Linked DNA regions of Arabidopsis thaliana. The protein of the gene in region 2 interacts with the protein of the main gene of each other region in a pairwise test. Each region holds a gene or a part of one and is shown on either strand. Other genes may lie near its edges. The genes, in order: AT5G19680, TOPP9 and I-2.

Region 1 (5,087 bases), on a different chromosome or scaffold from region 2:
AAGGGTTTTTGGAGACGCGAAAACTACTATCTCCGGCAAAACAATCTCTCACGGGAATTACATGTTTGAGCTGCGGTAACTAGTAAACAAACGACTGACCCAGCCTTCGTGGAATTAACACATGTCATGTGTTCATTCGCTACAAGTCATCTTAAGCTATATCCGGTTTTCTTGCGTGATGTAAATATCAATCAAATCAAACCGGTGAGCGACTATAAAAGAGAAGTTGACTTTCCAAACCGATGAAATATCAGGTCAACCAAAACCTCAATTCAAAATACCACCATTATTATAAACATTTTCGGTTCAAATCGGTTTAGTATAAACATAGACTACTTCCATTAATATTTTGGTACGTAAGATAATTTAAGGTGATACTTTGCGGCTAACTCTCTAGAGAATGTGATTGCAGAAGTGCAGATCTGTATTGGTGAAATGACTTTTTTCTTTTTCTTTTATACCACTCTTGTACCTTCTTTTATACAGCAAATTTCTTCAGTTCATTAACAAAAAGTACTTCTGTCGGAAAGAAAGATTAGAAGCCCAAAACTTGTAACAAGTTACCAAAAAGTAGTAAAATATGTAATATAGCAACCTTTCAATACTGAACAATCACATGAAACTATAAAGATAAAAAAGCAAGGGGCAAAGTCAAAAATATGGATCAAAGTATTCAAGTTAGTGTTCTCGGTTGAAACTTGAAACAAAGACAACTTCAGACTCGGGGATTCCCTTTTACAGACACAGTCCACATACTATTACAGACCAAAAACAAGAATTGGTTTACTTGCAAGGGAACACTAGAATTTCAAAAACGTTTTAATAAATATCCATGACGAGAGCGATTTAATTTGCTCATTTGCACTTCTTTATGATAAACAGCAGACACATGTATATTTTGAGGAATCCGTGTTGTACCTGATTTCCTAAATTCGATGCCCATGCCCATGGGATGAGGAAGCAGACATTCATACAAACAGCACGACAAGGAATATATCCATCTCTAAGCAAATAAGTTAGAATCAATTTGCTCCACATTCGGGAAGATTTGTCTGACCGCAGCAACATAATCAGAAGACTTGGCCTGAGAGGAGATGGACAACAGAAAATGATACACTTATATTAGATAACGTTTAATGGCTCTCAGTAAAATAATTACTTTTCACATCTTCTGAGCCAAAGAAATTGATAATTTATAGAAGACACTGGGACTCACCCAAATAAATGAATTGACTTATGCAAAAAACTACAACCAAGTTGTGGTACTCAAGTTTACTTAAATGCATAAGAAACTTTATAGAAAAACCCAAGGTTTCTTATGCATTATCAATATATACGGAAAAAAAATAATCTAAATTACGATGCACATTGAACAAGACCAGCAATGGGATCACTCTGTGTACCATTAAATTGACATTCCATATCAAAAAGCAAAAGCAAAACCAAAGATAGGAGATCCTACGATACTGAGTGACAAGACTTTGATGAAAAGTGACTAAAGATTATGATTAAACTTACACAAGGGTTATTTTCGAGGTAGATAGTGGTAAGCTTCTCTTTAGATCCTGTAACAGCTTCTGTGATTGCTTCCAGTGATTCTATCTGGTTGTCATTAAGCCACAAATCTTCCAACCTATAGGTTAAGTTAAAGTCAGGATGGAGAAAATAAATCACCAAAAGACAAAAATCGGTCTGAAGCAAGGGAAAGGTGAAATACTTTGTGAGGTTCTGAATGTCATCAACTGAAGTAAGCTTGTTGTTCGACACGTCCAATACCCGTAGGTTGACCAATGCACTCAAGCCTTCCATTTTGGAGATACCATTATGGCTCAAATATAACTCTTCAAGAGCAACACATTCCTGGGTACATAATATTTCAAGCATCAGAAGAAATAAAAATGCTGGCATGAGGAATGAGTATATCTGCAGAAAGGTAAATGAAGCACACCTCAAATCCTTTCATAGAGGTCAATCGATTGCTCTGCAAGCTAATCTTTTTTATGCATTTGAGCCCACACAGGTTAACAACTTTGATACGGTTTCTTCCGAGCCATAGTTCTTCTAATTTTGTGAAGTTTTCCAGATTTTCCATCACCTGAAACCTCAATGCTTTCAAATTCATTGCTGAAGCACTGTAAAGAGAATAAAAAAATATCAAAGAGGAGGGAGGGACAAACCCGCAATCTATTAGACCCCAGTTCAAGAATCTGCAAGTTGTGTAAGTGTTCAATCTCCATAATCTTGTTAACTTCATTTTTAGACACATAGAGTTCCTTCAGTGTGCTAGAGGCCTTGGATATTCCTTCCAAAGAAGTGATTTCATTGAAAGATATGTCGTAAACCAAAAGCTTCGTGAATATGCTGACATCTGGTACTTTCGCTAGCTTGTTATCTCTGAGAACTAACTCCTGCATAAATTATAGCAAGAAACACTCTTCTTTATCCACTGCCCACAAATAACTATGCCTCTCAGACTATCAATGCCAATTTTCAATTCTAGTGAAAATCAAAAGTGAAATGCAAAAGGCAATTAGCCAAAATCATAACGTTCCACGGCCAAAAACAAAATCAGATGCCTAGATATTTCACCATTTACAAAATCACTCAAAAGATAAATCAGAGAGTCGAGAATCACCTCGAGATCGGACAAGGCGTCCCAGTGAGACAACGGTTCGACGGCGGAATCATCAATTAGGTTTTGGCGGAGAGAAAGCTTCTTAAGCGTGGAGAGCTGAGCGATCCTCGAGTCCAATCCCGACAAACGGTTCGCCGTAAGGTCCAGCTCAATCAGGTTCGGCGGTAACTCGACCGTATCGAGACTGTGGAGCTGATAGCTAGTGAGATCGAGAACATTATTCGAATCGCCGATCTCTTCCAATGGCTCGTCTTCCTTCTCACTGTTCATGGTTTTTTTGGTTCAAGCTCGCGCGATGACGACAACGAGCTTTGTGGGGAACTGGTCTAAACTCTAAAGCGAAGTTCTCTTAAACTTAAACGTCAACGTTTCAGGCACACTTGTAACATTGTTGCCTGTAGGGTTGTTATGGTGGGCCTGAAAACCTATGAATAGGCCCAACATCAAGTCGAATTAGAACAAAATTATGAGTCAATATTTACAAAGGTAGAGTCAACTTTGTAGCTATTCATTACTCACACAACAAACAAGCACATTGGGTCTAAACTTTCACCATCAGCACTCCATAGTAACATCATCTACGCTTTGCTTGGAACACTCTGTTATACCAAATAGAATGCAAAACCATATGAAACAGATCATATTTCTCAGGTTTAGCATGCCACAGAAAGTGCCTTTGCGCCTTTCTCACCGCCATTTGCATCTTCACGTATTTGTCTTCTGGTATTGATAACAAGATATCTTTCAACCTCGGGATGTCTTTCTCCGCAACAATGACCGAGAACGCACTCCAATCAAGAACCTCGAAGAAAGGTGGCACAAAGTTGTCGGAGATGATCACAGGGACACACTCATAGAAAATCGATTCAACCACCCTCGGGCTGTTGACTTCGTACCCTTTAGGACAAATGCAGTACTTGCTGCTTTTCATCTGCTCGATGTAATTCATCTTGCTCGCCACACCAAATGGCATTCGCCCGAAGATTTTCATGTCCGGGTCTTTGTCTTTCCAATGCTGTAGCAGAATCTGACGTAAGTAACCGTGCATGCTTCCAGCATAGAAAGCCAGGGTCCGCCTCTGAGACGGCGGTTTTCCACCCAAATCACGAAGCGGATTTTTGGCGGCTCTGACATATGTTTCAGGGAGTGAGATGTCTCTTCCAATCTTAAAGCCTGCGGTTACGTCTGCATTGCATAAAGCTTTAATGCAATGCTCCATGTGGTGCCTAGTCTCATATGGTGCCTGTTAGTGAAGCCAAATTCAACATAGAAAATTGTTACCTATAGAAAAAATGATTAGTTAACTTTAAAAAATGAAACAGATGCCTACCCAATCATGACAAGCAACAAGAAAATGATCGGCTCCATCGGTTCTATTGAAGAAAGGGTACTTGGAACTGATGTGCTCCGTATATTCCTTAAGAAACTGGCGTAGGTTAGTGCGGTTGTGAGAATTACGCACATAAAGTGTGTATTCTAGCATCCGTGCACTAAATGGCATATAGTACAAGTGAGCCTTTCTTGGGTCCTTTACAGTGTACTGCTTGTTTCCTTCCATCAACTTCATGAACCATCCCTCTGATGCATACAATCCCTTGAGTATCGGAGTATGAAAGATGGGGCGGTTCCCTTCCTTATATACGTAAACTTTGAGTATCCGTTCCATAAGTTCGTAACTCCTGAGGCACATAACTGAATCGGATATGTCAAGATTACCTTTTATAAGAAGACACTACCAAACAGAACGAATTTGTGAACTAAACATATAATATGAACTCAGGCTTTCTTTTTCTTTTTACTCTCTTCACAGTACTAAGTTCCGAACAGAAAATTATCTCAACATAGGACCATATGATGCGGATTTTACAGTAGGAGTAGTGCTAAAGTTTCATCCACATAGGACTAATGATACTACTGAGGATTCATCAATTCGTGTATATACCATTACTCTTTTTCATTACCAGCAAATTTAATTCAGAATTAGCTCTAAGTTCTGCACTTTTACCTTTTAAACAGGGAAACATTACGGAATATTGGAGGGTAGAGCTCCCGTTCAAGTTTTGCAACCGGAGCATTCTCTATCTCCTTCCTTGCAGTCAATATCTCCTCATCTCTCCTCGAAGACCAACGCGGTCGCTACATTGGAAGTAGTATATCTCTTAATTGCATCATAACTAAAGTTCCACAGGTGAAAAGAAAATAGAAATGACAGCTGCACACATACCATTGCTCGTGAAGTTCTACGGTGCCTTGCTAATATCCGATTCATCTCATCTATTGTTGTCACAGATTTTGGTGGAAGATCACACCGCATTTTCTTCTTCTTACTTACTTTCTTAGAAACAAGCAAGGAACTATTTCCAGATGCAGGACTAGCAATGGAGGAGCCCCCACTTAAAATAGAGCTTTTGACGTTCTTCTGACTTTGAACCGTCACATTTTGCACCTGATA
Region 2 (5,488 bases):
TCTGGCCCAATGGAGCTCTGAGAGCGAGCTGGTCAAAGGTTAAGCATTCACCTCCAGCTTTCTCAATGCGAGCCCTTGCTCTCTCTGTGAACCTCAAGGCAGTCACTTTCATGGCTGGAATCTCGTGTACCCTCAAATCATCAGTTATAGTTCCAACCAAGACGGCAATCTTATCTTCCTATAATATCAGAACAAGAGGCAAAATTCAAAATCCAAAGCATAGACAATGTAGAGAATTTTGAATCAATTATCGAACACCGCCATGTTACAGACTAAGTTCACATTAGCAGATTCATAAACTGGACACTGTATCTAGGAAATGTAACAGATTCAACATGACCTAAAACTAATTTAACCATAAAGATACAGTAGAGAGAGAGGGTTTCAACGAATTAGTACCTTGCCAGTCATGAACTCCACAAGCCTAGATAGAGAAAGAGGAGCTTTGTTGACTTTGCTCATGAAAAGCCTCTTCAATATCACACCATTGAACTTGCTATTAGTTCTCCTTACCAGAAACCGGTAAAGCTGCAAAATTTCACAAACAAAATTCAGAACAATTCACTAAAATAAAATTAAAAAACCTCTTCAATTGGATAATATAAGGCAAAGGACAAAGATTGATGTTTAAAATTCTGACCTTGACAGTAAGCTTGAGGTAGACATCATCAGACTTTGGAGCTGTCCTTTTGGTCTTCTTACTCTTACCTCCGGCGATCAGATCAATACCCTGCAATAACACAACCAATCAATCTCACAAACAAGCATGAAAGCAAGATCCAATCTCAAAAAAACTAAGAGAGATAGATCGTTCACACTCTAACCCGAGACTCAAATGTCAGAAAAACAAACCTAATACACTATACAACATTTAAAATGACAGGAAACACCCACAATCTCTTAACAACAAGATTTCTGAACCTTTGATATCAAACTAACAACAGAAAATACTTGTAGAGGAAAGACAGAGAGAAATGAAGATTGAACGACAGAGGAGGAGAGAAGTACCATTGTCGTCCGGCGTTGTGGTGATGGAACCGCCGACCTTCTACATGAAAATACTGATGCTAGGGTTTTTATACCAACTCAATTTTAGGGTTCTCTTACTTCCTCCACGAAATGGGCTTAGTTATTTTCTTCCTTCACGAGATGGGCCTTGAATATAAGACCACAATAAGTTTGGACTTAAATTCTGTAATATATTGGCCCATTTATATAATTTTTATTTGTCACCATAGAAAGCCTTTCCTTTTCTTTTTCTGACCAACATGAAAAAAAAGCATTTCTGATGTATTTTCTTACAAACCTTTTATATACGTAACTATAAAAGATTAGTTATATTGATACAAGAAATAGTTTAATCATTGATGCATGCCGTCTAGAAGAAAAGAAATATTTTATTTTGCTTAGAAAAAAGAATGAACCACATATTAGGTGTAGTATACTTCATACTTGTTATCATGTATGTAAACTACTAATACATAGGTAAGTATACTTGTTTACGCAATTTTAACCTATTATTGTTGATTTCTTGTCACAGAAAGTGTTATGAATCAACTTTCAAATAAGTTAAAATTTACTCGCCCAAAAAGAAAGAAAAAGTATCAATTAATGTTACTAATCACTGTCTGTTTATATAATTAGGATGGTGTAGTGGAACATGATGGGAACCCATTTACGAATTCTAAGTATTACCCTCACACGTATACAAATATAACCATAAAACGAACTTTTCAAAAGACGCGGTTTCTCGCCCGACAACAATTACTTGAATAATTTATTTAACTACAAAGGAAATTAGTGTATGTAAGGAGCTTTGACCAGTTCCAATGAGAATCATCCACGTCTCATTCTTTTTAGGCTGGATCTTCTTCTTCCATCACCGTCCGTCCACTACCCCATAATTCTTGCCTTAGAAGGTTTCACTAATTACTTCGTCTTCGTTTTTCTATTTTGAGATTTGACAACTTCCCCTTTTAATCATGTTTTTAGTTCTGTTGGACAATACCAAATCAATTGCACTGGTTTTGCTTTCTTTATCCAATCATTTTTTCTTTTGTAGTTCATTGGATCCATTTTTACATCATGTAGAGTAGCCATTGTTACAATACCAAACAAAGTTAGAAATTGCTAAATATAATTGTTAATTGATATAATAATCGTATATAGTTAAAACTCAACTTGTTCCATTTCTAATCTTAATTATGTTTTTTTGGACCGACATCATTCTCTTAATGTAATGAATAGCCATTTAAAACAGAGTTGAAATATAAATTCCAAAAATTTCTGGCAGCAAAAGAGAGAGAAGAGAAGGAGCTATTATCTGCGCCATCTGTTTCTCCAATTAATAATCTCCTTAAATCCGGATTTGTTATTAATTCTAATCTTTTCCAATTGATCCACTTTCCTCCTCTGAGTTTTTAAGACTAATAGAGAGATATATAGAGAGAGATTGCTTCTGGTTTTGCCTTCCCCCTTTGTTTGACCTCTCTTTTCTTTCTTCCCCCCTTTGTGTTTCCCGCATTTTCTCGGGAAAATCTAAAGGAACAAAAACATTAAAAGTTTGTGATTTTCTGATTATTTCTTTATTTAATCGAGACCCATTGTTTCTCGCCTGATTTGGCGCAAACCCTTTTGGATTCTGGTGAAAAAGGTTGGGATCAGAGGAAGAATGATGACGAGTATGGAAGGGATGATGGAGATGGGTGTATTGGATGATATTATAAGGAGATTGTTGGAAGGTAAAGGAGGTAAACAGGTTCAGCTTTCGGAGGTCGAGATCCGTCAACTTTGCGTTAACGCCAGACAAATCTTCCTTTCTCAGCCTAATCTTCTCGAGCTTCATGCCCCCATTCGCATCTGCGGTCTCTTTCTCTTTCTCTCCCTCTCTTTGTGGTGATGATGAAAAAATATTGTGGCTTTTTGGTTTTGATGATTTGGGTTTGAGTCGTATTGCACGATTGGGGTTAAAAAGATGAGATTTGTAATTGGGGGCAAATTTGTGTTGATTAGGGTTCCTCTTTTTTTCTTAATGTCGAAACGTGTGTTTGAAGATTTTAGCATCTGGGTGATCTAAAAAGTTTTGATTTTGATGGATTTATGTTAAAGTTTCTGCAAATTGTTTCTAAATCTGCTGATGCTTTGTTTTATGAGGTACTAATGGTTTCCGTTTTGATCTCTAATTCAGGTGATATCCATGGACAGTACCAAGATCTTCTGAGGCTATTCGAATACGGAGGCTATCCTCCTTCAGCGAACTATCTCTTCCTCGGCGATTACGTTGATAGAGGCAAGCAAAGTCTTGAAACAATATGTTTACTCTTGGCTTACAAAATCCGGTACCCATCCAAGATATTTCTCTTGAGAGGAAACCATGAAGATGCTAAGATCAACAGGATTTACGGGTTCTATGACGAATGCAAACGGAGGTTTAATGTACGGCTTTGGAAGATATTCACCGATTGCTTCAACTGTTTGCCGGTAGCTGCTCTCATTGACGAGAAGATCCTATGTATGCATGGTGGATTGTCACCGGAATTGGAAAACTTGGGGCAGATTCGGGAGATTCAAAGGCCTACAGAGATTCCAGACAATGGTCTTCTTTGTGATTTACTTTGGTCTGATCCTGATCAGAAGAATGAAGGGTGGACTGATAGCGATCGAGGTATCTCCTGCACGTTTGGAGCCGATGTAGTCGCTGACTTTTTGGATAAGAATGATCTCGATCTCATTTGCAGAGGCCATCAGGTAAATAGACTTCCATAGTGATCAAAACTAGAACCAAATGGTCCAACTCTGTAGAAATGTTTGACATTTGTTGTATCTTGTGAATATGGGCATAAAGGAAAAGACTTTTATGAGAACCTTCCAAGATATTGACTTGTGAGGGACGTGTTTGCAGGTAGTGGAAGATGGGTATGAGTTTTTCGCAAAACGGAGGTTAGTCACAATATTCTCAGCTCCAAACTATGGAGGAGAGTTTGACAATGCCGGTGCATTATTGAGCGTGGATCAATCTCTCGTTTGCTCCTTTGAGATTCTGAAACCGGCTCCAGCTTCTAGCACTAATCCTCTCAAGAAGGTTTGTTTCCACCAAGAACTTTCAAAAGACCAAGTAGTCCTTCTTTTGATAATAATATTGGTTAGCTCGGATATACCAAAATCTGAATCCAACAAGACCAAGCCTTTTGGACTTGATGAGTCATGACAAGTTTTGTTCTTTTGGAAACTTCACGTCATAATGTAACACATGTTTCTCTCTATATTTTCTCTTTTTGATCAGGTACCGAAAATGGGGAAGTCTTGAAACTTAATACAGCTTATTCCCTTGAGAGATTTGGTTTCACAAGCTCAAGCTAGCGCTCTGTGCATTTCTTCAGATGTAGGCAAACTGCAATGGAGAAGAGAACCTCAAAAGGCTACTTTACTTAGTCATCAAAGAAGAAGCATCAGTAGAAAAAACAAAAGAGAGAGAGAGAGAGAGAAAACAAAAGGTGTTGTCCAAATATTCTGTGTATAGTTGCAGAAACATCTCTTTTCTGCTTCTCTAGATTTTCATCTCCTTTTGGTCTGTTTTCTTTTATTTGGTTATTCTTTTAACACCTTAGTTTAACTTAGAGTGCCTCTCCTCTTTTGCTTTTTTCTTTCTTTCCTGTATCATCAAATTACCACATTTCTTAATCTTTTCCATATTTGAATTGACTTCCATGGTTTGGCTCTTACTTTTGTGAATCATCTGCACAGTAAAAACAATTTCCTTTTGATTTAGCAGTACATGTCTCTCTGTGTTTTTTCTCTTCCAGCAGTAATACATATACTTTTTACAGAGCTTACTTTTACACAATGGCACGACTTGTTCTCTCTGTTTCGGAATTGGTTCTTCTTGAAACTGATTCTCCCTCTCTCGTCGAGTTTTCATAGTAGCACATTTTATTCTCAGGCTTTTGGTTTAATTTCATAGGAAGATGGTTCAATCCGGTTTACTATTAAACCGAAAAATCTAAAAACTAGATTTTTCGGTTTATGAAATCCACAAACCAAATAATATAGCTGCATACCAACCCAAAATCTCGGCAAATCAATGTTTTCCGTAAATAACCTTTTCTTTATCGATGTTGTCAGGAACATTAAGGGTAACTTAGTAATATAACAATTGCAGACGTTTTAGCGAGCAGAGGATCCCCAAAGCCAGACAAATCCTCTTCCGTCGCCGCCGCCGCCGCCGCAAGTCTCGTCGGTTAGTTTCTGAATCTCTCGTTTCTAAATCTCTGATCTTTCGTTGGATTCCTGTGTTTGAATCTCAGCTTCTCTACCTGGGTTTATGTCTCAGCTCTTGAACTTGCTTGATTTCTGCATTTCTTGTTATTTTCGTTTGTCTTTGTCTCTCGATCCGTGTGTTACCATTACTGTATATGATCGCATAATTCATCTGTGTTTTGCTTTGGGTTTATTGATCTAACTTAATCTCTATTTCCTTGGATTGATATGT
Region 3 (4,819 bases), on a different chromosome or scaffold from region 2:
GTTATCACTCGCCATAGTCTGAGCAGGTACATAACAGACATCCGTTGCATGTTTCACACAAGAACCTATCGCTGGCTCTGCAGTAATAAGTATAACCTTAGCACCGTTCGATTTAGCTACAGAGCAAAGCGCATCGACGGTTGAGAATCCTCCAGGACCAGCTGAAGCGATTAAGAGATCAGAAGATGAGATTGGAGGTGTTGTCATGTCGAAGACTAAGTGAGTGGGGAGACCAAAGTGGAAGAGACGCATCGCGAAGGCTTTTAGCATTAGACCTTCGCGTCCAACACCGTAGAGGAAGATACGAGAGTTGTTGCGGTTGCGGGAGATTGCGGTAAGCTCTGTTACTAGGAGATCGAGCGGTGGTGGATATGGTGAGGTTGGTTTTGTGAAGACAGATGAGATTTGGTTGCAGATTTGAGAAGATAGATTCGCCATTTCTTGAGCTTTCTCGTTCGCCATTGATGTTGAATAATTCAGCTTATCATCATCATCATCATCTTATATCGTGCATTTTGGACCACGTTTACAAATTTATACCGTTTGATTCGGTGGTTAATTGAATTCCGGTTCGGTTCGGTTTTAATGTCATATCAAACAAAAATACAATGACAAATTTGGAATATGATGTAAGAACATAGAACATGGAAGAACAGAGGTGACAGTAAGAAATTGCATTCAAAATGCTATAAAAGACAATCACATAATTGATGGGAGTTTTTGTTTCCTTCTTAAATTTCTGGAAGATTCAAATTGATAAAAACCAAGATTAGTTGAGATTGAGAGCTCTCTGTGAAACATGGAGCAGAGTACACATTTGATTGAACAGAAAGGTTTTATATTAACTCAGGGGATGAAGATGACGACGTCCCTGATACCGTTTTGGTTGCATCTAACTCTTTGTTTCCGCCTTTAGTGTGTCGTGAGTTTGTTGTTGTCTCTGATTTACTACCTTTTGCACCATCATCCTCTTCCTCTTCTTCTTCATAGAATGACCCTGAGGATCTCAGTTCCTTCACCTTCCGAAACTCGTCGTAATGTGCTTTTCTGTGTGCGTTGAAACGTTCATTTTTACCACTTCCAGAACCTGTGGTTTTGCACACAAAAAAAATAGATATATCGGGATGACCTAACAAAAGAACCTATATATGACAGTAGATTTGTTTGGTTTTAGAGGAGGACCTTCTTCATCTTGATCCATTGGATCTGCTTCTTCTTCTTCTTCATCAGACGAGCTCCAGCCACCACCACCAGAACCCTGGCTACTATTTCTACTGGAAGAAGCTGCTGCATCATTCAGAACATTCCTCAGTTCTTCAGCTCGTTGCATATCATCAACACATTCATCAAACGCTCTTCCTCTAGGAGACAAAGAACCTGGCACAATCAATCACGGATTAGAACAGATCAGAACTGATTCAAGTTAACCTTACATCTAGAGTGACAAATTTCCAAATCAACCAACCAATTGCAGGTACAAGATTTCCCCCAAAAAGATAAGTAATCGTCCAACTTTGTAGATGAATTAAAAAGCAGATAATTTTCACATACAATTTGCTCTTGCTTTCTGTCTGACATACATTCCATTTTTACATATATGTTTAGATGATGACAAGTATGTATCAACAATAAAATGCAAAAACGTCATAAGCATATAAACGTGTATCGAAAGTTCTGTGCATATACTAAGAGAAACCAAATAAAGAAAAATAGACAAACCATCATCATCCATCATCGGGTGGTATGGTGTCTTTGGTTCAGTAATCTTCTGCCTAACAGGTTTGTTCGATTCAATCTCCACTATATTAGCTTCATCCCATTGAACACGCCCCCTGCCATAATAACAAACATACTTAGTGACAATTCCATGAGAAACTATACTAGATTATACAAAAGATCACCTCTCTTTACAAAAGAATGACGATGTCTAAGCCTTAAACTAAAGACAATAAAGTTCACAGAATCTTACAGTTAAACAATTCTGCTGGAATATGAAAATCCATGAACATTAACACAATAAGACCTCCCTCTTCCATTTCCTTTTTCAATGGGTGTAGTAGAAAATATATCTGTTTTACGATTCCTTCATAAAAAGACCGCCATATAAGGCTTAGAACTTCATATCTATGAATATACATCCCTCCACAAAAATGACATAACACAGCCCATTGACTTCACAATTGATCTTATTTGAACACATTGAAAAGGTACCGTTCTGATGCAGCAAGCATTCTCAAATCTAATAGAAACTAAAGACACAAGCGAAAGTAAAAATTTGAAAAGGAGAAACATACTTCAAAGAAATCCATCAAAATCAATCCAATCTGCTAACTTTCCAAACAAAAGAACACAATGGTATAACTGACCACTCAAAATCACAAACCTTTAAATACGAAGAAGCAGGAATCAGTATCTACCTCTCTCATGATCATTGAGCTAAAGTATCCTAAAATCTATAAAGCAAAAACCTCCTAAATTTCTCAAATTTGCTGAGTAATGGTTTCAATCAGAAAGGGTTTAACCTAAATAACCAATTGATATCAAAAGCTTATCACTTTCCTCAATCATTCACCCATAACATATCCCGAAAGACACTGTAAGAAACCCTAGCCTATGTTTGGTTCTACAAAGACCAAAACTAAAATCAAAGATAGATCTTTCGTGACAATCATCAAAGATTCAAACTAAGAGAAAACAATCAAAACAATAAAATTTATTTACCTCTTTGGTTCGGTCATCTTCAAAATCTCCAGCAACTTTTTTCTTTGTCTCGATCGCAAGTTTTTAAGACCTGTTGTGTTCTTGATTAAAGAAGATACGAGGGTCAACTAAAGATGCAACAGAAACCGTCCGTTTGTTTGACTTTTATCACTGTTGCATCCAGATTCCGCCACGTGGATTACTTCAAACCCGTTCGATTGATCAAGCGCGTGAAGACTTGAGTAAGGGTAGTTTCGGAAATACACTTTAGAAGTTTTTTTTTTTTTCCTTTTTCCTGAGAACGATCGAATCGAAGACGGAGTGTGCAAAAGCCAAAGCTTTGATCTTTCATTAATTCTTCTCAAGATCTTCAGAGTCTGTAAGTATTTTTGGAATCTTATTTTTCTTGTTTCTCAATCGATGTAAAATAAAATTCAGTTGTTGATGATTTTACCATGTTTCGGGAGCTTGTGTTGATCTAGTTCTTCGCTCTCACTAGGCTAATTTTGATCTTCCTGATGTGCACAATGTGAATGGGTCTTAGGTATTAGTGATTTATCGGCTTTTTATTTGATCCATTATCTATCCAAAGATCTAATTTTTTCTGTTTTGCTGAAGTTGTAAATTGGAACCCTTTTGTGAATTGTGTGGTTTTTTTAGTTTGGTATTGCATAGTGGTTTCTCTGAAACTGTGAATTAGATCTGAGAATGGAGTCTTGTGATCTCCAATTACTTGTGTGATGCTTTTGTTATGCTTACTCAAATTATGATAAGGAAGCAAAGTTATGTTGATGCTGATGATAATAAGCTCTTCTCTTATTTTTGGTTCATGTGAAAGACAAGGGAAGATCAAAGTAATTAAATAAGCTGAAGTAAGAGGAAGTGATGTTTTCTCTTATGTCTGGACTATGGAGTTACATGTTTAGCAAGACTGAGTTTAATGTGCTTATTCTTGGTATCGACAAAGCTGGGAAGACGGTAATGCTTTCTTTTTAATCTTTTCTGTTACACGAATCTGAAATGTTGAGGATACACCTCTCATGTACTTGCCCTTACTTCAATGTCGTAGACATTTTTGGAGAAACTGAAGACGATATACTCAATCTCGGAAGGTCTTCCTCATGATCGAATTGTTCCTACTGTGGGGCTTAATATTGGTCGCATTGAAGTCTCCAATGCTAAAATTGTGTTCTGGGATCTGGGAGGTCAGGTGAGTTAGAGATGCCTTAGCTCATATCATTGATCTCTCTTCTTTGTACCTAATTATGTGTTCCTACAAGTCACCTATACCACCAAAGAGAATATGCTTGTAAGTTGATATGAGAAATATAGGATACAAGGAAGATCCCTTTGAACTCCTTCCCTCTCTAAGTTTATGCGTGAGCCTTTTTTGCTTTATAGATTGTTTCGTCCTGTTGAAAACTACTATCGGTTGTTTTGATTTACAAACCCTAATTGTGAACAAGGATCAGTCTTTCTAATCAAATAACTGTGGCTTTTCCCCTTTATGGCAGCCTGGTTTGCGGTCTATTTGGGAGAAATACTATGAAGAAGCACACGCGTTGATATATTTGATTGATGCAGCTTGCCCAACCCGCTTTGAAGATTCTAAATCTGCTTTAGGTAAGTCTCCGAACACAAGTTGACTCCAAACAGCATTATGAAGCTAAAGCTAAAATATAAATTGTCTTCACCAGAAAAAGCCCTGCGGCATGAGGATTTGCAAGGAGCCCCTCTTTTAATATTGGCAAACAAGCAAGTAGGAATTTGTATTGCGTCATTTGTTTCACTTAAATTCTTCAAATATATGTTGTTACTGATAGTCTTTGAATCTGTAACCAATGAGCAGGACCTCACAAATGCTGTATCGGCTGAGGAACTGGACCGATACCTTGATTTAAAGAAATTGGATGAAAGAGTGTACATGTTTGAAGCAGTTTCTGGATATGATGGGTAAGTAAATCTAACGTAAGCTACACACAGGATCCTTATAGCGCCAATCGAAACACCTTTAGCAGGAAATATTAAACGTATGTTTTGTTGAGAGCAGGCGAGGAATCAAAGAAAGTATAGAATGGCTGGTTGGAGTAATGGAGAAAAGCAAGAGAACCGAATCATT

Evidence for each region.
Region 1: the proteins of TOPP9 (region 2) and AT5G19680 interact in a two-hybrid assay, tested with the Arabidopsis thaliana proteins (one large-scale study listed by BioGRID).
Region 3: the proteins of TOPP9 (region 2) and I-2 interact in a two-hybrid assay, tested with the Arabidopsis thaliana proteins (one large-scale study listed by BioGRID).

The regions. Positions count from the first base shown.
Region 1 is NC_003076.8:6,647,481-6,652,567, reverse strand, and holds AT5G19680 (Leucine-rich repeat (LRR) family protein), read right to left. Parts: upstream 2,995-5,087; 5' UTR 2,906-2,994; coding exon 2,636-2,905; intron 2,409-2,635; coding exon 2,178-2,408; intron 2,096-2,177; coding exon 1,949-2,095; intron 1,861-1,948; coding exon 1,718-1,860; intron 1,634-1,717; coding exon 1,519-1,633; intron 1,085-1,518; coding exon 1,004-1,084; 3' UTR 522-1,003; downstream 1-521. Other genes in the region: AT5G19675 (uncharacterized protein), read left to right, coding at 3,252-3,344, 3,373-3,492; AT5G19670 (Exostosin family protein), read right to left, coding at 3,210-3,878, 3,966-4,314, 4,641-4,771, 4,860-5,087. UniProt on the Arabidopsis thaliana protein: Inhibitor of protein-phosphatase 1 (PP1). Binds to and inhibits PP1 activity.
Region 2 is NC_003074.8:1,617,034-1,622,521, reverse strand, and holds TOPP9 (Calcineurin-like metallo-phosphoesterase superfamily protein), read left to right. Parts: upstream 1-1,819; 5' UTR 1,820-2,671; coding exon 2,672-2,864; intron 2,865-3,187; coding exon 3,188-3,747; coding exon of another isoform or gene 3,748-3,765; exon of another isoform or gene 3,766-3,901; coding exon 3,902-4,081; intron 4,082-4,282; coding exon 4,283-4,306; 3' UTR 4,307-4,861; downstream 4,862-5,488. Other genes in the region: RPL18 (ribosomal protein L18), read right to left, coding at 1-178, 400-528, 641-730, 1,009-1,011.
Region 3 is NC_003076.8:21,201,982-21,206,800, forward strand, and holds I-2 (phosphoprotein phosphatase inhibitor), read right to left. Parts: upstream 2,836-4,819; 5' UTR 2,739-2,835; coding exon 2,722-2,738; exon of another isoform or gene 1,970-2,721; intron 1,833-1,969; coding exon 1,720-1,832; intron 1,378-1,719; coding exon 1,183-1,377; intron 1,088-1,182; coding exon 837-1,087; 3' UTR 623-836; downstream 1-622. Other genes in the region: AT5G52190 (Sugar isomerase (SIS) family protein), read right to left, coding at 1-462; GB1 (GTP-binding protein 1), read left to right, coding at 3,586-3,678, 3,770-3,910, 4,215-4,323, 4,398-4,459, 4,550-4,653, 4,751-4,819. UniProt on the Arabidopsis thaliana protein: Inhibitor of protein-phosphatase 1 (PP1). Binds to and inhibits PP1 activity. Acts as negative regulator of abscisic acid (ABA) signaling. Enhances the inhibition of SRK2E/SNRK2.6 by TOPP1. May promote the interaction between TOPP1 and the ABA receptor PYL11.